Linked DNA regions of Neurospora crassa OR74A. The main gene of each other region encodes a partner of the protein of the gene in region 2 in a complex. Links are inferred from orthologs where the notes say so. Each region holds a gene or a part of one and is shown on either strand. Other genes may lie near its edges.

Evidence for each region.
Region 1: NCU06485 (region 2) and NCU04508 share a complex: the UniProt entries of both Saccharomyces cerevisiae proteins name them as parts of the RNA polymerase I (Pol I) complex. The link is inferred for Neurospora crassa OR74A from reciprocal best matches to the Saccharomyces cerevisiae genes RPA49 and RPC10.

What each region holds. Positions count from the first base shown.
Region 1 is NC_026504.1:3,132,599-3,147,845, reverse strand, and holds NCU04508 (hypothetical protein), read right to left. Parts: upstream 5,732-15,247; 5' UTR 5,401-5,731; coding exon 5,198-5,400; intron 5,111-5,197; coding exon 5,086-5,110; 3' UTR 4,642-5,085; downstream 1-4,641. Other genes in the region: NCU04506 (hypothetical protein), read right to left, coding at 435-1,703; NCU04507 (ATP binding protein), read left to right, coding at 3,221-3,293, 3,369-4,495; NCU04509 (HIT domain-containing protein), read left to right, coding at 6,361-7,065; gcy-3 (aldose reductase), read right to left, coding at 7,225-7,626, 7,702-8,188, 8,268-8,359; NCU04511 (bud site selection protein 7), read right to left, coding at 9,155-9,694, 9,760-10,733, 10,793-11,073, 11,133-11,263, 11,335-11,461, 11,557-11,579; NCU04512 (hypothetical protein), read left to right, coding at 12,496-12,498, 12,589-12,663, 12,727-15,247. UniProt on the Saccharomyces cerevisiae protein: DNA-dependent RNA polymerases catalyze the transcription of DNA into RNA using the four ribonucleoside triphosphates as substrates.
Region 2 is NC_026503.1:1,577,179-1,593,168, forward strand, and holds NCU06485 (hypothetical protein), read right to left. Parts: upstream 7,534-15,990; 5' UTR 7,461-7,533; coding exon 7,307-7,460; intron 7,234-7,306; coding exon 6,908-7,233; intron 6,855-6,907; coding exon 6,024-6,854; 3' UTR 5,500-6,023; downstream 1-5,499. Other genes in the region: NCU06484 (hypothetical protein), read right to left, coding at 1-3,069; stk-43 (serine/threonine protein kinase-43), read left to right, coding at 9,318-9,381, 9,484-9,842, 9,909-10,103, 10,157-10,203, 10,258-10,545, 10,621-11,716. UniProt on the Saccharomyces cerevisiae protein: DNA-dependent RNA polymerases catalyze the transcription of DNA into RNA using the four ribonucleoside triphosphates as substrates. Component of RNA polymerase I (Pol I) which synthesizes ribosomal RNA precursors.

The DNA.
Region 1 (15,247 bases), on a different chromosome or scaffold from region 2:
TTGGCAGTCAAGTATGCAGTTGCATTTGATATTCCACCATAGCACATCACGCACATACTGTGATGAATGGGTGTGACACTAATTTAAGTCTTGCTGCCTGGAAGTGCTGCAGAGGATATTTGGTTAGGCCTACGGGACAATGCTCTCTCAACTTGGCGCCTGCAAAGTGAAGAATTACATTGATCTTATCGAACCTTCAAGTGCCTTGACAATGAACCAGCACGCTAACTCCTCTTTTTCCCGTCCAAGTCTTCATCATCACATAAAGTCAAAAGTCTGTACACATATTATAGCAAAGAAAAAAGCGAATGGGTATTTGAAGAACCAAGTAAAAAAAACAAGATATAGCCACCTGCCTGTCTATCATCCAATGTCAAGCCACATTGGAAAAAAAAAATGAAAAAAAAAAACCTGTTAAATTCGTTCCTGTTCCATCACCTTGTGTATGTGTTCTTATACAGCTGCTGAGCCTGTGGACTGTGTCCATACTGGTTGCCGGGAACTTTCAACGGGTCCACGGGACCGTAATCCGCTGGATTATACGGAGCGTAGTGAGACGGATGCGGGATACGCGGGTCTAATTTCTTCAAAGCCTCCTCCCTGTGCTCCTCGGACGTTTCCTGGTGAGTCTGTAGTCCAAAATTCTTGTCCAAAGCGGGAGACGGGAACCCGCTGCGTAATGATGGGTTCGGGCTTGCTTGTGGCCGGTCGGACGAGTATGACTGACTGGAATTTCGGTTGGAGGATGACAGAGATTGAGGCTGAAGGTTTGATGGGGCGTGGTAGAAGTCGCCTGGCATCTCAATCGGACCATTTGAGACCGGTTCAGGGTTGGTGACAGACAGCTCCTGTGGTCCATTCGGGGTTCCATAGCCGAAAGCAGCTGGTGCCTTTCCGTAGCTGTTAGGACGGTGGTAGGATCCAGGAGTACTTGACCGGTGTTGACTGGGAGTAGCAGATAGCGGTCGCGGGATCTGGTAGGGAATACCGGGAGACTGAGGTGGTGTACCAGAGGCCGATGAGCTGGCAAATGTGGGCGAAAACTGAGGGCCCGGAGAAGCCACCGCCGGTCGTCGGACTGTATTCCTCTTGTCGGCCGGGTTGAACGTCTTCAGCTTTCCGTCCTCGATCATAGCCTGAAGCACGCCAGCATCCAGTAACTCAGCCTTCTTGATGATGCGTCTCACCATTTCCCCACCCGCCTTCTTCATTTGCGACTTGACAAAGCTCATGACAGTGCGACTGCACTTGATCTCAATATCCTCACGGAGATATAACCCATCCGACGGTGCCCCAAGAGCTGATAACCCCATCTCAAGTGGCTCTGGAGGCTCAAAGTTTGGTTGATTACCGGCGATGCGATAGGTGTTGCGAAGGTCAACGTTCATGGGGGCGTATATGTGAGTCTGAAGACCCCACGGCATGTCGTGAAAGCAGCCATTGAACTTGATGGTTGTAGCCCCCATCCTCCCAATTCCAGGCAGAATCGTGACTCGTTCGGTGATCTCATACCATGTCGCATAATACTCGTCTGTTTCTGCATCCTGGGGGGCCGCGATGGGCTTGTGGTCGAGGACAAGAGGGTTAAGAGTAATGACTTCAGAATGAGAATGAAGGATGTCGATGGCCAACTGTCGTGGAATGAAGCCCGGGATGGGCGTGATAACGGTGAAGGCTTCCTTCTTGCGCAACATGGTGGACATTGGATGCTGTGGGTAGATATGTAACACCGATAAATGAAAGTTTATTCACCTCTATAGAGGTGTGGGCAGGGTATAGTAGCCGATCTCCGAAGCCTGGATTTGATGAGTCGCTGGAATTTGGCCCAAGTCGGATGATGAATCTGGCCCTGGTGTGGGACGAGAGACGAAACAAGAGAGGAAGTGGGAGGGAGAGAATTCAAACGGATCTTGGGGGTCAGCTTGGAGTATAATGGATAGAACGTGGTAGAGGTAGGTTGGTAGGGCTGAGTATCATGAGGGGCAGCCTGTGGATGGCCGCTTGGTTCCCGGCCACGCTGCCTCCTGGTAGTGCCGAACAGACGGATCTTGCCATTACGTTTGTGGCTTATTGGACCAACCCAGCTCCCATCACCCACCATTTTGAAGAGAATTTTGACGCAATAAGAGGCCACCGGCTGCGCCCACTCCCCAGCGCGGGACCACCGACCATACGCTTAGCATGGGTTTAGCGGTCATTGGCATTGGTGAATCGCCCCCGCCAGCATCCTGCCTATAGTTCCTGACCTTTTCCGAAGATGACGTGAGACGCCTTTTCTCCCATCGCTTATCCCGGTCTCGTTCAGCAGTATCAAATTGCCACTCGACGACTCCCCGAATTGTCCAAAAAGCATCCGTATCCGGCTTCATTGCTAGGCGTGAAAGGATTAGTTGAAACTGGACAAGTGGACAGACTTCATTGAACAATAGCCTGTGAGGTCGATGAAGCCTTCGGGGCTTGTCTGCCCGCGGCAAGTGCTATGCCATCCAGCCGTTGAGATCCTAAAATATCCAGGCACCCATAATACCGGGGTATAACTTGAAGAGCGGGACCGCCAAGTTACTAGGTCGAGTGTCGACTAGCTACTGCGGCGGTTGAGGGCTGTGGTATTCGCGGATTAACAGCGGCTCGGCTGAAAACAAGAAGCTGTCAAGCAGGCCATATGGGCTTTTGATATAGGCATGATAACAGGGTATAGGTCGCCAACTGATTTAGTTCCAAATTGGTAAAAAGATGATGGATGAGATGCGAGCCGGCCAGATATGGATTGGATGTCGAGGAACATGAAGGCGTAGGTAGTTGGAAGATGAATGGGTGAGAGGATGAAAAGAGACCAATGTCGAGGTTTCAGTCATTTCACTTTGGGGAAAACAAAATGCCAAGCCTTACCTACCCTTCACCCCACCCATGCCTTGATGGATGGAACCTTTCCGCCCGCTACGCCAGGCGATCAATGGACTTTGGTTTTTTTTTGTTTTTTTTTTTCTCTTGCGGTGTTGCCCCTCTGTGGCCCTCGGACATTCACTCCGTCGCAACCACCTATGACCATCCCTACAGCAGTGACCCCGCCGCTTACGACATCCGTGAAACTTTCTTCCCGAGACTCATTACAACACCATCTCTGCGCAAACTGAAATCTGCAACAACTTTGATTTTATCCGACAGATAACACAGAGATCACCAAACGATCTTCCACGCACCCGTGCACAGCTGTCGCACCATGGCTTCGACTTCGGCATCGTCTGCCGCCAAGGCTGACCAGCCTGTTGCCATCGTCTGCGTTGGCATGGCAGGTAGGTCTACGCATGCTCATGTTCTGTGCTTTTCCCAACCGCAAGCGGAATCATCCAGCTGACCATGTTCCCCAGGATCCGGCAAGACAACCTTTATGCAACAGATCAATGCCCATCTCCACGGAAAGAAGGAGCCTCCTTATGTCATCAACCTCGACCCAGCAGTCACCCACTCGCCCTTCGAGAGCAACATTGACATCCGCGACTCGGTCAACTACAAGGAGGTGATGAAGCAGTACAACCTCGGCCCCAACGGCGGCATTCTCACATCGCTGAACCTCTTTGCCACCAAAGTCGACCAGGTTCTCGGCCTGCTCGAGAAGCGCACGGCGCCCAAGCCCGACGACCCGACGCACACGCCCATCAAGCACATTCTCGTCGACACGCCGGGCCAGATCGAGGTGTTCGTCTGGTCCGCGTCGGGCCAGATTCTCCTTGAGTCGCTCGCCTCATCCTTCCCCACCGTCATCGCCTACATCATCGACACCCCCCGGACGAGCTCGACGTCGACCTTCATGAGCAACATGCTGTACGCCTGCAGTATCCTTTACAAGACCAAGCTGCCCATGATTCTGGTCTTCAACAAGTCGGACGTTAAGGACCCGGCTTTTGCAAAGGAGTGGATGACCGACTATGATGCGTTCCAGGCTGCGCTGCAGGAGGACGAGACCAACAACGCGTTTGGCGGAGCGGAGGGCAGCGGCGATGGCATGGGCTCGGGCAGCGGATACATGGGCTCGCTGTTGAACAGCATGAGTCTGATGTTGGAGGAGTTTTACGCACATCTGAACGTGGTGGGCGTCAGTTCGCTGTACGGGACGGGCATTGACGAGTTCTTTGCCGCGGTTCAGGAGAAGGCAGAGGAGTTCAAGCGCGATTACCAGCCTGAGCTCGAGAGGAGGCGCGAAGAAAGGGAGGAGAACAAGAAGAAGGCGCGGGAGAGGGAACTCAACAAAATGATGAAGGGAATGTCGATGGGCGACGCGGCGGGCGACGTCACAGTGGGTGACGTCAATGATAAAGAGGCCCCCGAGCCGTTGAGCACGGACGAGGAGAGCAGCGACGAGGAATATGGTGACGATCCCAACGACGAGTATGACCGCGAGGGATTGCAGGCGAGGTACGCCGCTGCCATGCAGGGCGAGGATGATTCGGTTTTGGCCGACGCAAGTTTTGCAAAGTACCTCCACAGCCAGAGGTGATGAGATTGGCCATTGGTAAGGAAAGGATTTATGGAGCAGTGTTGGCAAGACAAGTGATCGAGAGGGAAGGAGATTTAGCATACAACCGGCGTTTTCAGAGTGATACCATACCAATATTCTATATGGCAAAAAACATGATCAATAATGAGAAGCATCACAGAACGGATCCATCTGATGGTGATAGGTGATGATGACGATGATGAAAAGCAATGCTTTCTTTGTATAAATTCCCACAAGTCTACCGATATTTCCCAGAACGCCGCCATCATGATATTGTGATGAATATGATATCTCCCTTCTTCTGATCACAACAAGCCGTAGGTTCAAGGCTGGGCCATGCTAAGCCACCGCTAATGGTGCAAAATCACACCAAGATATCGACGGTTCGAGTCTCCTACGGTCCCAGCTCCCCTCGACAAATGTTCCCGTTGCCTCCAAGGCTGACTCGGCTCCCGTCCTTGGGCATCAGGACATCCCGGCCGGTCCAAATACGATGAAAACTTCAGCCCGATACGGCATCGAGGAAGAGCGACCCCTTTCTACACCTCCTTTGTTGGCCCCAAGTCGAACAAAGTCGAATAAGAAACCATTTACCGAGCCTCGAACTGAACCATTCTATTACCCCCAGACCGTCGTTAGCATAAGATTTTTCTCTCCCACCTTCTCAGAATCTTCCACCGGGTAAGCCCAAAGAAAACGTACCTCTTGGTGCGCTCCTTATACAAAACACGCGCACCGCACTTCTGGCAACGGATAGGAGCGCCCTTCTCGAGCGGCACGCGGACCGCGCAGTCGCCGCAAGTGTACCACATGACGCTGCTGCCACCGCTGTTGCCGTCGTTGTTAGAGGCACCGGTGGTGAAGCCCTGGGAGTTGGGGACCTGGTATTGCTCGCGGGAAGACATCTTGGTTGTTTGTGTTGTGTTGAGGGTGGTGTGGTATTTGTGGTTTGGGTTTGTTTGTCGTCGGGTTTGCTCGGATAAATTGGATGACGGTTATGCAACGTGTAAGATTGTCTTTGTGTTGAGGCGACGACAAATCGATGTTATGCGATTTATAGCGATATGCGACGATGATGTCGTTCGGTTGATGATGATGATGATGTTGAATATTTACCGGTGGAGTGGTTTGCGACGGACGAGAGGGACGGAGCGCTACCTATACAGGCGACTGAGTTTCAACTGGACGCGAACAACGAAAGGTAAAAAAAGGCGGGACGCTGAGGCAGAAAGTTCCAGACTTTGACAAAGGGTGACAGAAGCAGGCGGCGTTCGGACTTTGCGAATGCAAGTTACCCCTGTCATATCATGATAAATTCTCCACTCTTCTGTGGGTAGCTGTCAGCGCGGCAGGCAATTCCCCCACGTTTTCGGCGGAGTTTGGAGGCCGAGGTTGTTCGCGGCAGCCCTGGCGCCTCACCACTGCACACCACCGGGTCGATGCCCGCCGGCAAGCGGAGGTAAGACAGGGACGGGGAACGGGCCCGGTGCTTCACTTGTGTTTGGCTTTGGGGTCTTTTCAGATGCCGCCCCGGACCTCTCGTCCCGTACTTCACTGAGCTACTATTTAGTCATCAGCTAGAAATCATCATACAAGAGTCATTAGTGGTGTTTCCTTTTCGGATTTGTCACGGAGCAAGGCGTTCTTCTTGATTATTTGTTTGACATTCTGTCGCATTGGTCCTTGGTTACGGGGCGTACTCAGCAAACAATCATTCTCGGCATCATTACATAGCGAGATCAGCTTCACTCCTAGCCCTTGTCGAGATTTCCCTTGAGTATTTCTTCAGTTCAAGTTTAACTCGGGGCTCTTCGACATATACAATCGTTCAAACACATCACTACGTCATACGCCAGACTGCAGCCATGGCCTCTTCAACCGACAAGAAGCCACCAGCAACACCAGTTCCACGCTCCATCGTCCCCGACGCCAACACTTTCGACCCCAGCCTTCCCGCCTCCAAGACAGGCGCCGGCGCCACTAACACCTCATCCTCATCCTCCTCCGATACCCAACCCAACTGTCCCTTCTGCCACATCTCCTCGACCTTCCCCCCCTACCCCCCTACCACCCCCCCTTCTCCCTTCCCCCCCTCCACCTCCACCTCCCCACAACCACAAACCTTCCTCCTCCTCTCCACCCCCCTCCTGATCGCCTTCCTCGACATCATGCCCCTCTCCCCAGGCCATCTCTTACTCTGCCCCCGTCGGCACGCCGCCAAACTCACCGACGTTCTTCCCGATGAAGCCGCCGAATTGGGGCGTTACCTACGGATCCTCTCGGAAGCAGTGACGCGGGCGACGGGAATCAAAGACTGGAACGTGGTCCAGAACAACGGGTCGGCCGCGGCGCAGGTTGTTGAGCATATGCATTTTCATATCATTCCCAGGCCAGGGCTGAGGGAGGCTGAGAGATTTACGAGTACCATGTTTGGGAGGGGGAAAAGGGAGGATTTGGATGAGGACGAGGGGGAGGAGTTGGCGAGGAGGGTGAGAGGGTTTGTCACGGAGGTGGTTAGGGAGGAGGAGGAGGAGGGGGAGAGGGGGCTAAGGGAGAAAGCGAAGCTGTAGGGAGCGGGGTTGGTCGGAACGGATGTCACAGATGTGTGGTCACGGAGCATAGCCAGTCATTAATCTCGAGCGAGCATTTTCTGGTGTCATTATTCATTATTGTTCATCTATGGGGGGAATATCTTGCCAGCATCCTCTTGGCTGCACGGTGTACGACGCTTAGTCGCTGTCGCCAGCACCGAAGAAGATCTTGACAGGCAACCAGTCATCGCCGCAGACCTTGAAGCTGTTCTCCTTGTGAACCTCATCAATCTGAGCAATCTCCTCATCGGTCAAGCTCCAGCCCTCGAGATCAATGTTGGCCTTGATACGCTCCTCAGTGACGCTCTTAGGCAGCACACTCCAGCCCTTCTGGACACCCCATCTAAGGAGAACCTGCTGCACAGTCTTGCCCTTGGACTCGGCGAGCTTGGTGAGGCTGTTAAGCTTGTAAAGCGGCGAGTCGCTGCTACCGAGGGGCGAATAGGCCGAAGCATGAATGCCCTTCGAGCGCAGATACTCGACAAGGTGGGGGGACGGGTTACCAGGATGAAGTTCGATCTGGTTAACGGCGGGAACAATCTGTAATTATATGTGTGAGGTCCTCATCAATTCACAACAAAACTTGAAGAGGAGGAGGAGCACAATCTTGCTTACCTTGGTGCTCTCGGCGCTCAAAAGCTTCTCCAGGTTCTTGACGCCAAAGTTGCTGACACCAATGTTCTTGACCTTGCCGGTGTCAACCAGCTTCTGCATCTCGCGCCAGGTGTCCACAAAGTCCCAGTCGTTGTACACCTCCTTGGTGTTCCCCTTGACAAGACTGGCGGGCCAGTGCATCAGGTAGAGGTCAACGTAGGGGGTGTCCAGGTTCTTGAGCGACGTATCGATAGCCTCGGCGACATGCTTGTGCCAGTCGTTGTCCAGCTTGGTGGTGAGCCAGATCTTCTCGCGTGGGACGCCGGAGGCCTTGATGCCTTGGCCAACCTCCTTCTCGTTGCCGTAGGCATACGCGGTGTCGATGTGAGTATAGCCGGCACGTAGGGCGGCCTCGACGGCCTTCTCGACCTGACCAGGCTTGGACTGCCAGGTTCCGAGGCCAACGGCGGGGATCTCGTCGCCCGTGTTGAGCTTGTGAGTCTTGCTGCTGTTGACAGTTGTAAGCTCGGGTGAGCTTCTTCTAGGGGTTTCTCCTGGCACTTCATCCCCAAAGTAAAGGTACTTACAGAGGAGCCATGGTGTTTGTTTTACTGAAGAAATATCTGGCGGTGTTTGTGATGTTTGGTATTCTGGGAATTGCGCGTGAGACAGGCAACATGAAAGACAACAGAAAGTTTGAATGATTGAGAATCAACGACGACTGGAAGGGCAGTTCAACATGATTTATAAGGCTTGGAGCCCCATCTCTTAGTCAACCCCCACTTTCTCCTCCCACGAACGGTGGAGAGCCGATTCCTATCCGTTCCAATGTAATCTTCTCCATCATTCTGGTGCCTGTTTGTATTACTGTACGAACTGCCTTTGACGGATTGTGGCTCTCTATCCCACGCTTCTACATATGTGATGACGTTGATGGCAACCATAAGGTACCATAGCCCCGCACCTCCGGGGATAACAAAGAAGAGCAACCTAGCTTTATGCAAGTTCCAAGTTCCTGCAGGTTCCAAGGTCGGAGCGCAAACTGGGGGGCCAAACTCCAAATGGTGGGGGGACGCCGCTCTGTGGAGCGGATTGGGGACAACTGGCGCAGGTCCCGTCATAGCTAAGACGGGAAGGACGGGTAGCCCGGCCCGATGACCGGGGCTGGGAATCGCCCCGGAGTCAAAACGGGGATCGCTATAAGCCGGGGTCTTCCCGCCACTCGACAGTCCACAGACCTAAGACTCTATACTTAGGAGTCTAGATAGCATCAACTGGAACTTTCAATGCTTATCATATCTCATCAGGCCGCTCAAATTCTCTATTAATGATAAAACTCGCTATCATACGAACAACTCCGCGACTGCTCTCCATACGCATAGGCATCATGTATACGTCCATACCATGTAAACGGCCATGGTCGTCTCTCAGCCATCACTTCATCAACAGCACCCCAATATCAAACCCCAGCAACCTAGCCGTCGGTCCCGCTGCTGCGGAAAGTAGCACACAACGCCGCATAGTGATGCGTCAAGTCCAGCACGTTCTGTGGCAGGTTGGTCGCCTGGATGATACTCCTGACCTTCACAGCACCCTCGTCCTCGATGAGTGTCCGGATGGTATGTAGTAGCTCGGGTGAGAATTCGCTGTACCACCGATACTGCCAAGTTACCAACCTGATGAGAGCGGCGACACTCTCGCGTGTGCTCTTTTGCTTCTCAAACACCTTGAGAATACCGGTGAGCGCCTTGGGGCTGAAGCGTTGACCCAAGCACGCCCGGTATGCCTCAACCGCTTCGTCCGTATGCTGTAGGCGTTCTGCGAGACTGCCGAGAATCTCCCACTCTTCCGCCGACTTTTTGTACTGCATACTCTGCGCTCTGTACTGAGCCATCTGGGTGCGCCAAATGGTATATACGCGAAGATCTTCGTAAAGAACCATGAACAAGCTGTCTAACCACCGTTCACATAGACGCTTGTTGTTGAGGCGCGAGAAGTGATCCTCGTTATCACCCTATCATGTGTTAGCATCGTGTCCATAGTAAACTGCCAAAGGGAAGCATCGGCTTGGAGACGTACGTTTTCTTCGGCCTTGCGGACTACCTCTGGGTCGATAGCGCTAGGAGGTCTCTCCAGGCCTTCCGTTTGCTCAGCAGCCAAAGTAGCATTCTTCTTTTCGTCCTCAACCTCGTCAGTTTCGGCAGCCTCCTTGGGAGCGGTTTCGCCGTTCGTAGTATGATCCGGGCTTCCACGCAGCGCATCGGTGCTAGCATTGCGCTTGGCAGGGTAAGAGGGCTCCTGCTTCTCGTTTCGATACTCGTCTTCCATAACAAAAACGTTGCTTCTGATCTTGAGAAGTTGATCCCAGCCAATCTTGGCAGTCATCTCGGTGAGAATGCTGTATGCCTGCTTGAACGTTCCCCGATACGCAGCGGCGCGAAGACCAAGCAAACTTGGGTCGACCTGCTCCGAAAACCTCGAATCTGGCTCGCTGTCGATTTCGTCCAACCTGGTCTCTGGGAGGGTCGGTAGGTTAACGTCTTTGGGTTCTGGCATGACAGGCGCATCCTTGTCCTGGTATGTGAACATGGGACACGAGTTGAGGATGGTCAAGGCATTCTCCCAATCCTCCATTGCAACATAGACCTGGGCCAGTCTTGCCCACGTGCCGAACTCACTAGGAGCGGCTATCGTACTTCGGTCTGCACAGCCCAGAGCCATGCGTAGTCTTTCCTCCCTCAGCTCTGGCGTTGGGGCAGTTTCGGCCTTTTTGAGAAGGAATTCGGCCTGGGTATCAAGCATAACGTAATCCATGGGCGATTCCTTGAGGGCCTCGTACAAAACACGGACTCCTTGCACCTCCTCGTTTCCCATGAAGAGCACTTTTGCCAAGAGCGAAGCCACTTCAACGTTTTGCGACCGAAGCTTCTCAAAGAGATTGATACCGGAAGTGTGGCGTCCTGTTGTGGAGAAATACTTTAGGAGGCCGGCTGTCAAGTGGTTAGAGACATTGTTTGGCACCTGCACCACGGAGTCGGACCCAAGTTGCCAGCCTATTATAGGAGAGTCAGTAAATCGCTTGTACGCAGGGTGAACAGCTGGGGAGTGGTACCCCTGAAGAAGAGCTGCTCGGCAGCGCTGAGGAATTTGTGTTCGGTCTCGGTACTGGAAACGGGGTTGAAACGCCGGACGCCCATGATCTTTCTGATTGTCTCGCCGCTTCCATCGTCGGCATACGAGTATGCGCGGAGAACACTGCAGAGGTATGTTTCGAGCCAGAGTTCGTCGGTTGCCTTTCGTTTTTCGCCCCGCTCGTCAACGCAATAACTCTCTACGGAGCCGGGGAAGGGAGCGTGTACGCGCATGTCGACGCGGGAGAAGGCATTGTAACAGCTGGAACGAGCGATTGTTAGGAATAGCCCAGAACGCAGTCGGTCAAAGAGTGGTATTACCAATAAGTTCCTTCGACGGTTTTGGCAGTGGCGGAATTGCCGAACTCCTTGTAGGTCAGGGTGTTGATGTAAGCAGCCAGACTGGCCGAGGAGGACGCGTCGACGCCGGTGACATGGTGATAGACACCATACTGATGGATGCGCAGGTCAGCGATGGCTGTCGTGTTGCATATGGATGAAGTCGGAGAGACTGGTTACGTACGTGCTTTCCGGGGTTCTTCAGGGGCTGCTTGACCAGGTGTACGAGATCGGGGGGGCCAAGCTCCCTGAGAGAGCTCAGAGACTCGGTACGAGTGTCAACCGCTTCATGCAGTATCTCTTCGGTGATCCTGCGTGCAATCCAACATTAGCTTCGGCCTAGGTGCGCTTGGTTGAAGGACCCAAGACAAAGGGTGGACTGTAACTCTAAACGGGAATCACGAACTCGGGGACAGCTGGCGCAACCATGGTGAGGGCGATGGACCGCCAGGCTGCGGCGGGATGTTGATGGTTGGTTTACAGTGGTTAGAACAGAGAGCAGGGAAACTGGAGGCGCAATTGCCTGTGTTGTCGCAATTTGTCGTGTCGCCAACAGTCAGCCGCCCTGTTTGTCATCCAAGGTCGGGACAAAAACGGGGAGTTGATTGACCGAAAAGAGGGATCGTCGACTTGATGGTTCAGCCTATTCACAGCTGTTTTGAGTTGAGGTGTTCGTGGATTGGTGCTTGTCTTCCAAGGGCGGCGGGCAGCGGGTGGGGGATACTCCTCCTGGCTTCGGGCCCGGCCCATTAAAGCCAGCAGTACATGTACACTACCGCCAGCACATGGAAGCTCAGCCCACCTACCCCTACGGCAGGAGCTCGAGCTCTCCAGCTCACCCTGGGCTGCCTGCGTGTCTGGCTGTCCGTCATCGCAACAATGGAAAACAGGGGCAGGCGGGCAGGCAGCTTGAAAGAGCACAGGCCACCGTACACGTCCATCCCTGCCATCCACATCTCATGCACCGCCGGGCGGGCAGCTTCGGTGATGGGAGCTTCTTCTTCCATGTGCCTGCCGTGATGGAGTGTGAACCCTGCTGGCACACCTCCGCATGGAGCACACTAACAACCTATTAATTTACATGGCACCCAGCTCTACGGTAGCGTACTAAGCAGTGTCCAACAACGCAATCGCGTCTCACTTTGGCCCGGGTCGCGACTCTGTCGACTACCTCTACCTTACTTCCCGTCGACAACACTACCAGGCAAGACAGATGCTGCTCTGCCTCTTGGCCCAACACTTGATTACTGGGCTTCACCGTATACTACACCCGGCATCTCTATACCGCTGCGCCGTCACTCTTATTACTTATTAACCGCATGAAAAGAGTATCGATTCTGGCAACATGGTAAGATTGGATTAGCCGGCTGCTTGGGGTGTCCTCTTCAGCGCATCTTGTGGAAGACGGCCAACCTGCTGACATCTCTGTTTTCTGCAGCCAACCTTTCAGGCAATCAACGTCGAGCCCGAAGAGAACGTCGATGAGGAAATCGACACAACCAAGCAAATTCAAGTACATATTGTCTGCCCGTCGTGATTCTCGCCAGCTCGACCGCTTATAGAAGTCTTGTGACAGGTCGATGATGCCTTGAAACTATTCCAGAACGCCCTCAAGCTCCACGCCCAAGGGCCCCGGTTCTTTGACGAAGCCTCCGACGCCTACAATGCCCTTTTTGAGTCCGAGATTTTCAGATACCCCGAGAGCAAGACCGAGTACGAGCGCACCGAGGAGCGACCGGATGGCACTCTTGTCGTTGAACCCACCCTTGCCCAGGGGCTCGAGGTCGGTGCTGCCGATGTAGATGGGATCGCCAGCACTCTACCGCAGACCTTGTACCTATCCTTCAAGAATCACGGCCAGTTTATAGTCGATCGGATAAAACACAAGGCACGGGCCAGCAAACTGGGTAGCGACTTCGATTACGATGATGCCGCCATTCAACATGACGCCAAGAAAGCCTTGGACGAGTTCAGCGCCGCCCTCGACTATGACCCATCCGATGCCGACCTATGGCGGAAGACCGCGAGGATTGCCGCTTTTCTCAAGAGCGCACGAATTAGTCGGTACAGTCTGGAGGCAGCTGTGGAATTGGACGATGACCCTGCTGTTACCGATTTCGAGCCTCCTTCGCTCGCTGAAGGATTCGCTGGCGAACAGCTCAAACGACAACTCGAGGTCCTGGACGACAAGATGGCCCTAAGCCACCCTATCATGAAGTCATTTCGTGAAAAAGGTCTTCCGAAATTCTTGGAGCGTTACCTCGATCCGATACCATCGCTCCCTGATTATGCCAAGACAATAGCTGCTCCAAGACCGGACTCTGACGAGGTTGGCCAACCTCGTCTTGTCATGAATATCCCAAGCTACTCCTGGACAGAACTTGGTATTGCGTTGGTTCACTTCGTGGCGGAACATGGGTTTTCTGGTCAGGCTGTCGCGATCCAACTTCCAGAAGGCATTGTCGAAGATGAAGATGTTCAGATGGAGATTGATAAGCAGTTGCAGCCTCCCGAAGAAAGTACACAGGAGGAGGAGGCAGCGGTGGTGGCTGAAGTCACTTCGGCGGAGAAGTCTGGGGCCCAAGACACCGAAGAAGCTGAATCCATCGTTAGAGAGACCAAAGTTACTATTGTCGAAGAGGCCAGAGCCGCTCAGCCCACAAAGGACCGAACATCATCGTTGCCGACAAGAAAACGTTCGCAATCTGCCGCTGGCATACCAGATCCAGGAGATGAGGAGAAAGGCGAGACCAAGAGGAGCAAAAGGACGAGGCGAAGGGAGACAGCACCGGAGGAGGCCATGGATTCTGCTACACTTCTCGCCACTCAGCTTCAGCCCTTCCAAGCCGCCGACCAGAACCTCTTTCAAATGACCAAAAATTTTCTGGAAAATTTGGGAGTGACAGACCGAGATACACTGGACAGGATAACCGAGATCCTGGATTCCTGCGCTTCGGATGATCGAACAAGTAAGATCCAGAATCCTGCTACCACTGATTTGCGTGAAGCAATACTTCATTTCGACGAAGAAACTGCTAGCATCCTGCTGGACGGGAGAGAAAGTCCACCACTTAGCCTGTCTGCTTTCCTCGAACACTCCAAATCACCATCCCAAAGGGCAATTGAGCCGCCCCAATTCGACGATGTACGAAATATTCGTGGGTTCGTCATGAGAATGAACTCAGGCTGGAATACCATCCAGGATGTCGTCTATGAGTATGTCAAGTCTCTTGCAGAGAGCTACTCAACAGAGAAATGGTCAGATCAGATGAAGGTTGCTATCGTTCAAGTCATTAGTCGATTGGACGAAGGAATCTATGACCGAGTCGTTTACGACCTTGAGCAATGGCAGCTGAGCGACGCGAGCGGGCACCAGCCTTCTCCAGATATTGTCGATCTGGTTTACATGCTTTTTGAGCTACATCTTGATGTGTACGAGCGGATCACGAACCCTAACAGCGTCGTGGAGCAAATTACGCGGACTAAAGCGCGGATAAGGTTGGGGAGGTGGTGGGATTTAGCTACGCAAGTCAGCCGGCGACGCTACTTTGGAACTGATGATGCTTTGACACTCCGCTTCCTTTGGGCAGCTGTGGTGTTCATTACAGTCACTGAAGGGGTACCCCGCGAACACATTCTCAATTGCTGGCATAGTCTGCGCGATCATCTTGCGACAACTACGGTCCCCGATATTGTTCTGCCAAACAACGCGGTGATGCCGGAGATTTCGGTAGCCGCTGCCGATCGTGAAGTTAGCAAGCTCACAACCATGGAGTTTTTCCTGGGTCTCTTCCAAGAAGAACAGGACAACCCCGTGTCCGTTATCGATACTCTGGAGCCTGTGCTTAATCCCGAATCAGTCTGCATCAATAGCCAAGCTGCTCCGAACCCAACTGAAGACGCAATGGACGAAGACACCGAGCCTGCCGGAAACATCAAGTCCGTCAAAGATTGCGCCAGCCAAGGGCTGCAGGACCTGTGGAACTTCATCGAGAAGAGCAGCACTGATCTCCGGTTACTGCTCTGGTCGAGGCTCGGCGACGCCTACGGCAAAATCAAGTACACCACAAAGCAATTCTCGTGCTTCCTGCGAAGTA
Region 2 (15,990 bases):
ATCCTGAACATGAACACTTTCCAAGTAATGCAAAACAGCCTTCGACAGGTAACCGTGTCCCATGCCCGCCCCTCCACAGAGGAGCAAGCGAGGGCGATAGACACGCGACCGCTGGAAGTCCTGACTCATCTGCTCCCTCTCGAACCCGCCATCGAGATCCTTATACGGCTCAAACATGGCCTCCTCCAGCGCGGTGGTCTTCTTTGATCGAGGCAGAATCTTATCCAACTGCGCAACGAGAGCCTCAAATTGCTTCTCCAGAAGTGGCTTGACCATTTTGGGGATGGTCATGGCGCTGGATGACGCCGAACGCTCAGACGAGGGCACCATCTTCTTGATAGAGTGCATGAAATCTGACGCCTGAATGCTGATCTTCTGAGGATTGACCACAAGCTTTTCCTTGGATGTATAGATCTGGGGATACGTTCTCTGAATGGCATTCAGAGCCGCCTCGGTGCAAAGGGCACGGAGATCGGCACCGCCATATCCCTTGGTGAATTCGGCCAACTGGTCTTTGAACTCGTTCGACAAACCCCAGTCCTTAGTGTGAATCTCGAGAATCGATCGCCTTCCTTCGATGTCGGGAAGGGGGAAGTAGAATTCTCGATCGAAACGGCCGGGGCGACGCAAAGCAGGGTCGATGTTGTCAGGGCGGTTAGTGGCACCGATGACAATTACTTGTCCACGACCGTCCATGCCATCCATCAACGCCAGCAGGGTAGAGACAATGCTTGCATGGATCTGCTCCTGCTTGCTGGATCGCACAGGGGCAAGACCATCGATCTCATCGAAGAAGATGATACTGGGTTGCGTCCTCCGAGCTTCCTCGAAGAGCAACCGCAGCTGCTTCTCTGCCTCACCAACCCACTTGCTGAGAGCGTCAGCTCCTTTGCGCATGTAGAAGCTGATCTTGCGGCCTCCGGAGCCGACCGAGTTGGCCAAGGCTCTGGCGAGGAGAGTTTTACCGGTACCGGGCGGACCGTGGAAAAGAACACCTCGTGGTGGTGTAACATGAAATCTGGTGAAAAGTTCGGGATACAAAAGGGGAAGCTGAACCATCTCCTTGAGTTGGTCGATGTGGCCTTGCAAGCCTCCGACTTTGCTAAAGTCAACACTCGTATCGACGCCAAGCGGATCCGCATCCGCAAACGCCTTGAGATTCTTCACCTTTCCGACGTTAGGTGTGGCGCCTCCAATACCACCCAGGCCGTCCACATTATGGGTCTGAGCCGCAGGATTGGATAAGCCAACCGGAGGAGCGGCAGAAGTGGGCGTCATGCCAATAGGGTTCTGGCCAGGACCGGTTCGTTGCACCATCTCGTCGTCGCTGCTGTCGGAATCAACGCCGCCCGTAGCACCGGTGCCCCAAGGGCCTCCAAGCAGAGCGCCAATTCCAGCGCCACCGAAGGGACCATAGGTGGTGTTTAAAGGACGGTCCCATCCTGCATTTCCTCCGTTCCTCTTGCGGCCTCTTGCTGGCGTTGCCACAGGCTCTTCATCTTCCTCGGCCTCGAGGGCGGCCAAGTCGATCGCCGGGATAGTGTAATCAACACGCTGGGTAGTGCGACGTCTCTTGCCCGCGGGTTCCTCGTACTGAATAGAAGGTGAGCGGCGACGGCGAGTGGCAGCTCTTCGCGGCCGCGAGCGTGAGCTCTCGCGAAGCTCCTCGAGTTCTTCAGCAAGCTCCTCCCTATCCAGCTCAACTTCCTCATCACCAGAATCTTGGTTGCGGCGAGGCCTTTTGGCAGCGCGAGCACGGGTGGAACGTCCGCGAACGGGTGTAGCGGCAGACTCATCTGCACTGGAACCTTTACGTCCACTCTTTTTAACTGAAGCCTCCGAGGCATAGCATTCGTTATCGCCCGACTCCTCGCCTGGCTCAAAGTCACTACTAGGTTCAGCGAGCGACCTCTTCTTCAAGCGAGACCCACGCCTGAGGCGGCTCCTGAGTCCTTCGCCCTCTGGTTCAACTGCTGTGACAGTGGTCGTGGTCGAGGCAGCTGTGGTAGATGTGACGGCTCTAGCCCCACGAGTCCGCCTAGTAATCGGACGATCGTCTTCGTCGTCACCGTCTGCGTCTTCTGCTGCTGGCTGGCTCTCGGTCTGTGCAGGTTGTTCTTCGCTAACCTGTTGGGCAGCTCCTTCCTCGGCCACCTGTTCAGCCCTTCCCTCTTGGTGTTCGTCTGGATGGTCAGCGGGCGCATCGACCATGTTCGCCTGACCGGCCAGCTCGTCCACATCGTCAGCATTGGGTATATCCGTCTCGACCTTGAATTCGTCGTCATCTTCCTCATGCGAGGCTTCGGGAATGGGTGGAGGTTGTTGTTTCTTAACACCCTTGGAACCACGGGTAGCTCTGGTGGCGTGGGTCAAGGCTTCCGGGCTTTTACTTCTTGTTGATGCGCGGGTGACGCGGGTATGTCTTCCCGAGTTGGACAGCTCGAGCAATGGCTCGTCCGTCTCTTCCGTGCGGGCTCTCGTAGAGCGGCGGGTCGGGGGAACCATGGTTGCTGGTTCTTTGGCAGCAGCGCCACGTCTTGGTCGTTGTGAGCTTGGCTTGGCGCCTTTTTTGACACTCAGCACAACGATGCGAGACTTCTTTTTGCTGGGACTCTGTTCAGGAGACTCTATCGAAGGCACTCTATGTTCTTCGTCGGGCTCCTGGACGACGTCTTTGTCTTGGTCAGACGACTGGATCCCGTCTTCGTCTTCACTGCTTTCCCTGTACGATTGGTGTCGTGCGGCAGCCTGGCGCATCCGCCTGCCCGTAGCGTTGACAGGAGCGTCCGAGTCTTCTTCTTCTTCCTCGTCTTCCTCTTCACCGAAAGAGATGTCTTGTTCGCTGTCGCTGATATCTTCGTCGTCTTCGATGTCGGATCCTTTGTATCGGCTGTTCCGCCTGCGCGCGCCGCCAGCAGCGCCTCGGTTCTTTGGGCGGCGGGTGTTTGCTTGCTTCCTTGCACTTCGCGGGGTTCGTTGCTTTTCGGCAATGGGGTCGAAGTTTTCGTCTTCGGGATCGGATTTGTTAGGGTCGAAATCCGTGAGAAAGTCCTTTTTACGCTTAGACATAGCAGATTGTTGGTGGGGGCAAAACGGCTAGGTATAATGTGGTCCAATAAGTGCTGCAACGAATAGCTCTGAATAGGACTGGGGTTGGTGGTGGACAATAGTAGGGTGGATTCCGATGGGGTGCCTATTCCGTCCGATGGCGAGAATGGGGGCAAAAAGCTAGCGGTTGGTGAATTGTTGAGCTTGCGACTGGCTATTTCGATGCGATGTTTATTGATAACAGCTATTCAATATCTAGCAGCCTGCATGAATAAGTCGTGTTAGGTCCGTGTGTGCCGTGCAGAGCAAAACAGGATGCGTCAACAGGTCAAGGGAAGCAATGGGAAGTGGGAGCAAAGGGACGGGATGGAAAGAGGCAACTGAACAACCAGAAAAAAAGAGAGCCACATACAGATTTATGTTCTGTCTGGTATGGACCTAGGTGCCGTGGGGGGGTGAAATTGGGTCAACACTCGGTCGGCTCTCACCTTGCTGTCAGGTTGACGACTAACAGGAGGTGGGATGTACCGCTGCATCGACGGAGCACTTTAGTTCAGGTCGAAGTTGCCTTGAGGTTTGGACAGAGCAAAACCTATCCAAGGGCGCAATTGAGGTAGAGCCAGACAGAGAGTCGAAGGGCATCTAGGAGAGGCACTGGGCAGGTAGGAGGATTTGGTAGAATGCGACGACTGATGCGACGATGCTTCTTTTTTTTTTTCTTTGGGTAATGCAATATGCATACACACACACACACACGGCAGCAGACACGCACACACACGCGAACACACGCCCGGCACTAGACTAGACTGCTCGCTGGGGAGTTGAAGTCGGACTGCGGTGCCGGTCTTGGTGCCGAGCTAGTATGTTATGTAGAGGTTGTAGTAGTGAAGGGAGGCAGCAGTGTGGTGCAAATCCTCTCGCGCGCGCGCATAACTTCCCGAGAGGAGAGGACTTGAAGCAAACTCCAGTCGTTATAGTTGAAAGTCGCGAAGCTGGATGGATAAGTAGCTTCACCTCGGCGGGAGATATCGAGTGCAGTCGGTCAGATGCCGTGAATTGTAGGTAGGTTGTGCAGAAGGAAGGCAGGACGGGAGGGAGGCCAGAAGCAGGGGCAAAGACTACCTAGGACTGGCGTGAAAGAAGTGTCACTGGAGTTGAGGTGGTGAGTGAATGAGCGTGGTGAGCTGCCTGGGGTGCGGCAGACGGGAGGCAAGAAGGTGGACAGTCAGCGGTCGGTCGGTCGCGTTCGTTCCCTTCATTACCAGGTAGGTCGTTCGCGGAACTGTGAACTGGAATGAAACTGGAACTGGAAGAAAGGCGCTGGTTGGCACCGTCCTGGCCAATCAGCACGCCCAGAGACCACAAAAGCTGGTCCATGCGCTGCAGGCACCAGCCCCGGCATTGCGAATCACCTCAGAAAAAATCGCAAAGTACCCCCTGCCCCGACAATTCGCCCGTCGACCCAACTTTGACGCGTCGTGAATTGAGCACTCGTATTGTCGCTGTCACCAACACAAAATTGCAGAGAATGGCTGCTCAGATTGAAAGCAGAGACATCAGACAGCATTGGGAAAGGTGCATTGAGTGTGTAAATGCAAAATTGAAGCCGCAATTTAGAGAGCAAAATAATCTGTGGAAAATGGTCGTTGAGAGTGAGACGCGTCTCAGTTGAAGATCCCAAAAGCTCTTTAAAAGAGGCAATGTCGTCATACCATTTAAGCTGGTCGGGGTGGGTGCCGGTGAGGAAAACTGCACTGGCTCTGGTCGCTCGGTGGGGATTTTCCCCACGTGGCTTTCGAATGCGGCTCAAGCGCCTTCACTCTGCACAACGCCAAGGGGTCCAACTTAAGGGGACTGGACTGGAGCGAGGGGAAGCACAAGCAGCGGCCGGCACACGGACGATGGGATGGTCAAGGCAATGGGCCAGGGGAAACGGGGAGGACGGACAAAGTCGGGGACGCTTTGGGGAGGCACAAGGGGAAGGAACTTCATCGTGGGGTGATCGGCTTCGGCCCAGCCCTACCTACCACCGACGGCGTCTCACACCGCGGGGCGGCCAGCGGCCAGCGGCCAGCGAAAGGGGACAACGGTAGAAGGTGACGCCTGGGCGGATGCCCATCCAGGGCAGCCATATAACTACCTTTTCATCTTGTTTTCTTCTAGCCTGGCCGTCGGCTGCTCTGATATCTGCGTAGGATTTGCCGCGGACATTCTTCCTGTTACATATGTTAGCTTGACGTTCGTGGTTCTGATTTTGCACATCAACTGGCGTTAGCTGGTTCAGGTTAATGATCATCTCTGCCCCATTACTCATCTCGAAGCCCGTCATCAGTTCCCATCTTCGTTATTGGGTCCGTGCGGATATCAGTAGTAAACAAACACAAAGGGGTTGGCCAAGCGTTGAGGCACTTGAGAACCAGAACCCAGGGGGGCCAGCTTTTTGTGGGGTGACCCTTTTCCTAGATTTCAATGTCATCTCTTTGACCCCATTCAGAGCTTGATAAAGACTGAGGGACAAGCTTCCCGCCATACTTCTTATGGCCCATCAATTTCCATGACTATTCTCTACATTGTCTATACAATGATATATGCTTTCTAGCCTAGCTTTTACTGCCCGAACCACAAAATAACTGATGTATACCTCGGCAAGATGCTCAAATAGTGCGGTACAGGTCATGGCCTCCTCTCGATTAGGCGCTTGGAATTTTGATTGGCCAGCGCCTGGGTGTCGCTTGGGTGTGTCTCAACAACACACCATGGTGGTTACAGGCTGGAAGCGGCCAGACTTCCAACTGAGCTGGATGATCGCTTCTCTCGCAAAAAGCATGCCTTTTCTCAGCACTTCGTAGGGTACTTCCAAACGTAAGCGCCAAGATGTCCAATGTAGGACTGGGTGGATGATGTGCAATGCGCACAATCCAACTAAACTTGATGATATGATCCGTGGCCGTGGGTCCGGCTCAGCAAAGCGTGGTTTACCTCTTCCGTGCCGGCAGTCTGATCTTGGGAAACTGAAGAGGCAGTTGCAGGACGGCAAAGTTCTCCATCTTGTCAGCGACCTTCTGTTGCTTGACGCGAGCTCCAATCTCGATAAAGTATTGGTTGAGCTGCTTCTGCTCCAGCTTCAGATCTTCTCTCAAGTCAATCGTGTTGACCCTGAAGCCGTCGATGATGGCGGCAAATGCGCAGCAGTGCGTCATCAGAAGGTCAACGTGTGTCTTGCGCATGACTCCGCCGTCCGAGAACTTGCGGCGGATGTTTTCAATCACGATCTCGGGCGCTGGTGCCATAACCTCGCGCAGCTTATCCCTCTTACCAATGCTTCTTGTGCCACGCTCCCTTCCTTGCGAGGTGGCATTCCAGAAAATGATGACGAACAAGAGGTACCGCAGTACCCTCAATCTGTGCACCGCGTCGTCGCTGCTTGCTACGTTGGAAACGCGCTTGGCGACAAAGCGCGAAGGTACCTGGATGTCTTCTAGGTTCTTGACGCTCTCCTGCCAATCCATCACTGGTATCGCGTTCAGGACCTCGGATCCGATAATTTGGGATGGTACGTAGACGTCTGCGATTTCATCGGCATTGAAGTTGCCGCGCGGTACCGGTCGGGCGTTGTCGACAGCGGCTTGAAGGTCTTCCTTGGTCGACATGTCCTTGGTGGCGGTCTTGATGGCGTCCATCATCACCAGCTCGCTCTGGCCAACCTTTTGAGATGTAATGGCGTTCTCCGTCACGTCGCGGATCGCCTTCTTCGCCTTCTTAGTACCGAATGCCTCGCCGAGCTCGTTCCTCATGGCCATCATTTGCTGTTGCACCGTCAGTCTGGTTTTATGCCCCTGACCACTACTTCCAGGCTTACCTGTTTCTGAGTCTTCTCTTCCATTGCCTCGTCAACCGCCTTCTGCGACCTAACTGTGCCACGGAGCACCATCTTGCGCGCCTCTACAATCTCAACCTCGGCGGTTTTGGGGTTGAAGATGCCAATGTAGTGCTTCAGGTATGGGTCGGACGAGTCTCCTGTCCTATCTTCGCGAGCTGTGTAGTCCATCGTCCGGTGGTTGGCAGAGTGCAGCAGCAACTCTTGTGCGGGCGCGCCATTCTTCTTGCGCTTCGAGGTCTTGTCGGCTGGTGTGGCGTAGGCTTGAAATTGTATGGACGAAGAGAGAGCGAGTCCCGAGGTCGCGGCTAGGAGCGCATGTTAGAGTCTTCCTCCATTGGACTTGACGGCCATGGTTTCAGCCGATCAACATGTGCTTACCCACGACCGGAGGCGCATACTGCGGCCTCTTCACAGCTCCGACATTGATGAACTTGGGCGACTTGGACGATTTCTCGGAGTCGACCTTCTTCTTCTTGATTTGGGGTGTTGTATCCTCAGCGCTCTTGCGCTTCTTGTCTGATGAGCTTCCCATGGTGGTGTTTGCGGGCTACAAAGGTGCTGGGGTAGTGTAGAGTCGTGAAGTCCCGCCAAATCAAATGGATCATGCAGCTGGAGAGTCGCTGTCTGAACTTCCGAGTGGATCCCGCAGCCAGAAAAAAATTCTGCCGCCTGCCGGGGTCCGGTATCAGTTACCGCCTTTACAATCGACACACCACATTTGATGACGACGATGCAATATGTTTGATGATTTGTGTTGAAATACTACGAAGCGCGAAATCTTCATGCTATGAAATCAATTGCTATTGGTTTGCTGTTAAATTGCTTGGAGAGATGAAGAATAGCAAGCCGCACGCGTGCTAAAACAATCAACCAGACATGGAGGGGTTCAGTCCAAGTCACAAGGCAAACCAAGGCTTGGGACGCGATTTCTATGCCCTCGTGCATGCAGGCCACTGCCTTCCCCGTCGTTGAAAATGTTCACTGATGTTGCAAAAATTGGTATTCCCTTTGTGTGCAAATGCCATGTCACCTGTTCGAGGGCAGATGACCATGTTGTCGACAGAAACAATTGATCCAAGACATGCAGTCCCGTTTGTCACAGATGCAGAGAAGTGTATCATGAAGCGAAGCGGCCTTTATTGTTGCTGCGACGGGTATCCCGAATTCGCGTCTCCAAACTAGACAGTTTGCTCCCACCGGCGTTGATCCGTAAACACCTTGTTGCTACTCAACCATGAAGTTGACAGGCAACCAGCCAATACCATATCCGCCACCAAACAGTTCCGTTCTATGTGTGCCACAGTTTGATGTGCAGCATGTCCCGAGGGGTGCATGTTCCGTAGGAACCCTGAGTTCGCCTGATCACCGCAAGGTTTCAGAGCGACCGATGTGGCGTCATTCCGCGCTGAGGGGAGGAGTCGACACCGAGCCCAAGTTGTCTAATGGCTTAGAGGATAATGTCAAGAGCTGATTGGGTCGAGTGAGGCGAGGCGTTTATTTGCTGGGATCGAGTCAGCTTATATGCTCCTGAGTGGCGATTGTAGCTGCATCAACTGTCGATGCGCCGATGGTGAAACTTACGATCTCGCTCTCATCTTTCTTCTCTTGCGCTTAAGGCGTCTCACGCGCTTCTTTCTCCACTTCGCTCTCATCTTGAACTGCTTGTATGTCAGTAGGCGGGCAAGCAAATGCTGGGGGGCGGGAGCGCGTACATCTTGGATTTAAAGATGAGTTTTGCTTGTTGGTGATGGGAAAGAGTTTCAACTTGCGAATGGAGAGGGGGAACTTTTATCTCATAGGGCTCCAGGGCAAGCAGCCCTGTGGGGTAAGTCAGGTGACGCAGGCCCAAATTGCCCAGGCCTGCCGCTCTTTGTTTGGATGCGGTCCGTGCGGGGTGCGACCTTTGCCCTAGGTGGCCCAAGCTCCCGCTGACGGACGGGAGCTTCAGCTGGACTGCATCAGAAGCTCGGCTCGGAGATCGACTCCCGTCTCGTCCTCCAACGAGCGAGCCTGCCTCCCGCTCCTACTAATGGACACTGCACTTTCACTTCACTTGCAAGCTGCACCCGTCCAGGTCAAAGGAAGGCACGACCTGTCTGCATAAAAAGATTTTCACGATAGCTGGACATGGGAAGGAGGAGTCGATCCTCAAGGCACCAACTCACTCTTCCAATCTCGTCCTGTGATCTTGAACTCTGAGTGTCGTTCCCAACCTTTACCTACTTCTACTTCTCAATACGCAAAGCCACGGTGGGCCATGAATAGTCAACACTATCTACGGACGCAAGTGACGACATCAACGCATACATGAGTGAACGTTGACATTGCCGGCTTTATCATTATCATTATCCTTTGTTTTCCGTGTCTCGGTGTTGACAGCTGGTTTGATATGTCGCAACCGCCTGTGGCAAGTGTTTCCTTCGAAGACACTAGCACTGCTCCTCCTACAAGAGGTAGGTATCTGTCATTTCCCTGAAGTGATCGTGAATACTGTGATGTATCCCTCGCTGGTCTCCTCCAACCAGTGCTCCCTAACTTTCGTGTCGCAAGTCCAGGCGGCTTTTACATCTGGCCAAACCAGACAGTCAGAATTGGTCGTGACACGGACCGAGATAATAATGACGTTGTCTTTGTCGATTCCACTGTCTCAAGAAACCACTTTGAGCTGTATTCTATCACTGTTGACGAAGAAGGTCGCCATACATCACTTGTGTTTGTGCGAGACCGACAGTCTTCCAACGGGACTCTGCTCAACAAAAAGTGCGTTGGGAAGAAGCCAGACATCACTCCGGGAAGACTACTCCAGAATGGGGATGTCATCTCCATATATCCTTACATCACTTTCAAGTTCGTTCAGCTCGAGCAGGGAACTTCGTTTTTGCGGCTCACTGCACGCCAGCGAGAGGAGCTCAAGGTACTATTGTTATCTTGGCGTGCGACGAAAATAAAACATGCCATGATCTGACTTAGCAACATCCAGCTCCTTGAGAACCGATACCTTGTGGAAGACCGCACATTAGGAAACGGTGCCCATGCTGTGGTCTACCTAGCCACAGATGTCTTGACAGGGCAGCAGGTGGCTTGCAAAGTGCACAACTTAGATAGACGGCCCCGGTCACACCAGATACTCCGTCGGATCAAGCAGGAGGCAATGCTGTTGAGCTACCTCGATCACGTAAGTCATTGAAAGGGCACGGGACGATGGATCAAGCTAACAAAAGTCGTCAGCCGAATATTCTTTCCATCAAGGCTGCCTTCGAATCAGAGCATTCGGTGTAAGACCTTCATCACGAGCAGCTAGCAGGGTTGGGCAACTAATGTATCTCTAGGTATATCTTTACAGAGCTGGCTACTGGTGGCGATCTCTTCTCACTTCTATCACGCGAGGGGGCACTCCCCGAGCTAGAAATACGCTGGATCATACGCCAGACCCTCAATGCTGTTGACTACATCCACAACAAGGGGGTCGCACATCGAGACATCAAGCCAGAGAATATTCTCTGTGCCATAGCGCCAAATGTCTCCTACAGGCTTGTTCTCTCCGATTTTGGGGACTCGGCTGTTACGAACCGTGGAAGATTAAGGTCCGAGGTTGGAACAACCTTCTATCGCGCCCCGTGAGTTTCGCACTTCCCCTCCTGGGTTGACATATGTCACTGGATTGTTGAGAGCAATGCTAACGCTTGATTCAGCGAATGCTATAACTCCGAGCGAGGTCATTCATTGTCTGTCGACATCTGGTCCATTGGGATGCTTTGCCTTCAGCTTTTCTCTGGATTCCAAGAACTTCCGAATCTTCGTCATCTCGATTTTACCAGCCAAGACAGAATCGACCGCTACCTCAACATCATCCTCAATGACCTCGGCTGTGACATTGCTGTTCAAGATGGCGATGAAGACTACGGCAATGACAATGAGCCCATTGACCCTCAAACCTCCCGCCTCCGTCCAGATGAAAACATCTCAAGCCATGCAAAGGACTTCATTCGCGGATGTCTCACCTACAACAGCAAACACCGGCTCACGGCGCGCCAAGCTCTTACTCATCCCTGGATATGCGAGCCCGAGGAAGATGACAGTCTCTTCAGACGTCTTGAAGGCGATAATGCAGCTTCGTGGGAGCCTAGGAAGATTCGGCTCGCTCCTTTCATCGAAAAGCTCGATGCGACCACTGATGCGCATAATGGGAATGGAGAACAAGAACTTGGTACGGCGGCAGAGCCTATGGGGGAGGAGGAGGAAGAAGACGAAGACGCCAGTGCTAAGATTTCGCCACACTTTCAGAGGGACCCGACTCCTTTCCTTTCGTGTCACACCTTATCATCAGCCCATCAACAACGAGAAGAGGAAGACACAGATCACCCACTAAGCGCCAAAAGCTGGTTTTCATCTCCGCTGACAGTTCAAACCCGGCGGACTAGTCAAAGACCACAACACCAGCCAGGTTTGTGGATTGACTCTGACCCATCGCATCCCTCCGAGGACGAAGGATGGGGGGCCGGCGGTATCAGAGCACATCGTCCCCCTCTACCCTCATTCACGTTTACTCCACCATCGCCAGACTTGCCAGAACTTTCTTCTTCGCCCTTGGCGCCACTTTCACAAGAATCAATTATCCATGGCAAAGTGAACAGCAACCAGCACAGCGACGAGCGTCCAAAGGAAGATGCATCGATGACTGAACCGTCCGCAACCGCAGCAACTTTAGCTCATCTGCGAGAGGCAGAGAAAAGACGGAACGAGTTCAAGCTGACTGACTGCAAACGACGGAGGACTTGTCCAGTCTGACCGCCGACCGCCGATAACATGTTCAGTATCCAGGCATTTGACTGACGACCCATGATACTTCTGTAACTGTGTGATGGCGCTTATTGACATAGTAGGGACTAAGCTTCATGTTAGCATATGTGTGATAGATATCCATGTGGCTTTCGTCAAGTTAGGCACTTGATGCGATGTGGATTGATGTGTTTTTCCCCAAGTCGTTTGTACGTTGTCGAAGGATGGATGATGACCCGGCGGTGCGGGGATGTGCGTTTCAGTTGAATTGAGGCTGAGTCCTAACGACATCATGCGGCCTGGTTAGGCACTTGTCAGCCATTCATCCATTCATCCACATCTCTGAGGCACAAGCATGCTATCCGAGAGGGGAAAAGGAACGAGACTTCTTGAGATATGGCTCGGTGGCTTGCCAGCGTTTGACGGTCGAGGCAATACACGCCCGTGATGTAATATCTCAAAACTAACGTGCGGAAATCAACGAGCCTTGCCTCAAACATAGGTAGAACCGATGTCTGGGAAGCATGATGCAATGTCACAAACCCAATCTTGTCGTCCTAGGTGCCCAAAGAGAAGACATCCAAAGAAACGGAGGAACTTGCATTGAATCAGCACGTGTTGCTAAGGTCTAGCCGCTCCCCACATTCATGAGTTTACGAAAGCGGCCTCGTCAACTGGTCATCGGCATTTCTTGCGTCTTTTTCCTATCCAGACGCGAGCGCTAACCTCGCCACAACCGCTTGGACCGAAAATCGTCAAGTCGTTAGTCACTAACACGGAAAATGATCACTTATATACATATTACATGTACATGATAATGGATGGTGATATCTGCCATTGGACGATGGTTATATTGTTGAGCCGGTATCACCAGATAAGGGATTGTTATTAATATTCCCCCTTCAGTGTCCAACCGTCATGCCGTCGTTCGAATCCCGAATGAACTGAATCGTTGACGAGAACTGGACGGGGAAGCTCCTCACCGGGCTGCTTCCCGTGCCGGTCCCCAGCGGTCCCCAGCGGTCCCATGAGGTGATCCGCTATGGAATGATTGACCCGCATATCCACTCACCCACAAAGTGACCCGCTCCGACAACGACGAAGTGGAGACATGCATACAAGGCCAATCGGCATCGGGACAAGGGGGGGACTGGGGCTCTCTTGTCACCCTCTCCACATTCTTCTGGGATCTTGCGAAGTCGAGATTGGGGCTCAACCTTGGCAACTTTGAGGGACTGCATGTTCGAACTGTGTATGTCTTCACAAGTGGAAGTTCCCATGATTTTGAACCATGACCCCTCCCCGAGCCCCGGCCGAAGCGGAAACCTCGGCAGCCGCTCTGACGATGAAGGATAATGACCGTACACAACACTACTGTGCGGTAACTTCTCTCGAGCATACCTATCAAAGCGAGTGACGGATATAGGCGGCTCAGCTTGTGTCGCGACGACAGTAAACTCATTTCAGGTGGGTGGTCTCAAGCAATTGGAAGCTGGTCAAGTTTAGTCATGGACGGTCGCGCGAGTGCGGACTCATTAGAGTAATTTTATCGTCAATTCCGGCAAAGTTTCAAGAATATCACTTGTATTGTGTGCTCTCTTTACCTGCGTCCGTATGACCAGGTACTAGGGAGGGTGTCGCTTTATTCATTGCCCGATATTTTGGGTCCAGTCTTTTAGTGTAGAATATTGGTTTGAGAAGTGTCGGCATTGCCATGGTAGAGGGATAGAGGGATGGAGAGTTGCCAAATCAGAGAGGGTGAATCGAGTGCCAATCTGAGAGCTCTGGGCGTAATTGTCCGATTTGTGCAACCTAAAGGCAGCCCGAAGTGGAAGCTTTGCGACCGCTGCATGTCTTTACTGGAGCGGACGGGATCCCACTCATCATCCCTATCGCAAGGAAGAAGAAAGAGGCTCATCCTCGCACGCGGCATCCTCGCATCCATCTCCCCGCCCTTGAGAGCTTTTTGGGGGAAATCGGCCGGCATGAAATCGGACGTCCTGCTTCAGCATAGTGGGGTCATGAGATTACAGTACCTCCCGGCCGTGTGTTGAACTTGGTTGAACCGCTGGGTTTCGTGCGTACTCTAGTCTCTTTGTCATAGTAGCACCTGTACTGGTTTTTTATTGTTTTCATTTTCCAGTCATCAAGGTTCTTGGTTTATTGAGCCGAGTGAAACGCTTTAGCTCAATGAGGGAGGGGGGAAAATAGGGCGACATGGAAAAGCGTTGAGATGAATCAATCTTGTGATGCAGTAACCTTGAAACATTGAAACAGAGAGAAGGTGACATTGGGAGTCAAAAGGGCATCAACAAGTCCCCACATACTATTAGTCGTTAGGTCCTCCCCCCCACTCACTCACATCATCATTGCCGTCGTCCCTCTTTGCTTTATCAAACCGCAAGTGTGGATGCTGCTGCGATGGTGAATTGTGGATCTCAACTTTCCTCCTGAAAGCGGAGACGTTGACGGTCACTTTGGACACTATCGACGAGTTCCCATTTTTGGCATTGCCGATGTCCACTGGGTGCCAGCTTTCTGCCCCCTTTGTCCCTCAATTCCAGCCACACAGCACCGCATTAATTATAATTATAGCTACAGTGACAACTGTGGTCGACATGTACGGTCCTCTCAGTTTCCAGACTTGTGGCACTGCCCCTGGCAACTGTGACAGCGCTGCACTCGGTCGGTGCCAATCTGCCAATCCCATGGAACCGTGACCTTTTCCAAGTTTGTCGAGACGTGGCTCCTTGGTAGTAGGTAAGGTAGGTAGGTAGGTGCATTGCCATGTATGTATGTAGGTTAGTAGGTATGTAGAAGCTGCGACGTGCCAGCCCAGCCAGGACGGAGCCAGCCAGCCAGCCAGCCATCTCTTTCGCATGTCGTTCCCATCTAAACGTTCAGGCGCCGCCGCATGGACGGACAGGCGGGATCGGGATCCTCACGGAAAAAGGAGCCTCACAAGTCCCGCCGTCACCACCCCTCATCCACTCTCTCGGTGCTGTGCCTCCTTCCGTTCCAGCTTTGGAATCGCACGAACCGGCGGACGGACAGATGGCACCCACAATGTTGCAACTGCTCACCACCTGTTCACCTGTTCTTCTTTCTCTAGCACGGCAATACCCCCAAGAGGAGTCGCAAAACGAAAGCGAGGAGCTTCCTTGGAGCGAACAGAGATACCGACAGGACATTCCAAACCGAAACCCGAGTCGGACCGTGCCAATATCGAGAGGCATACTGGCATAATCCGTCGGCCATCCCCATCAAACCCAACTTTTGCAGCGCAAGTTGCTGGAGACGACTTGAAGTCCATCGGAACTCGCCGCATCTTCCTTCCGTCTCTTTGCTTGCAATACTACCTATCATCGGGCTGGTCTACATACTGCGCACCTACCATAAGCATTGTTCACTGGCCTCTAGAGATTCTGGTCGAGTCCTGTAACGCCGCGGGTCTGAGGGTCGTATATCGCCGTCCTCGGCAACTAGAAAAGGAATCTTATATGTCTCAGGCTGAGAGAGAGAGACAGACCTTGGCACTCTTGAATGAGACCCCTGATCATTTCCATGCCTTGGGCCTCGATTTCCCTAGCACATTATCGGCGGGAGCTGTGCTAAACGAGCCGAACGAACCACAGCTCTCAGCTGTCACGGTGCCCAGGCGTGTTTCCATACTCCAACTGGGGCACTCCGTCCTCTCCCCCTCCCCGCCTCCACTCTTTGGCTCTGGTAGCACTCACACAGCTCTAGCAGTGGGCAGCTGCACGTCCATCGCATTAGACGGCTGCACCTTGCAACTGCCCGGGATCCCGCTCTGAAATCTGATTTCCCCGGGCTGGCCTCTTCATTTACACCCTTGCAACAACCCTACCTTCCATCTTCCTCCGTCCAGGTTGGTGGCTGTCACTGCCCTGCCTTGCGGCTTAAACCGTTAACGATCCCCCATCCCATCCGCCCCAATCTTCGATCCTCCACTACCTCGCTGCCTGCCTGCCTTCTGTGCCTCTTCAACCATTCCTTCGTTCCATTGCAAGACCCAGAAGACCACCCACCACGTTCACCCGCCAGAGCAGCCGCAGAAGAGACCGGATCCAAGCAACTGAACGGTGTGGGAATTCCCGGAAAGAAATAAAAAAAAATAAAAATACTCTCGGCGGCCTCACCTTCGAGCCCTTCAAGGTTTGATCGTCGACTTGGACTGGACGACTCCTGGTTGGTAGCCAAGGTAACCACGGTATACTCACTGATTACCTTGACCTTGCACACTACCTACCTAGGAGGTACCT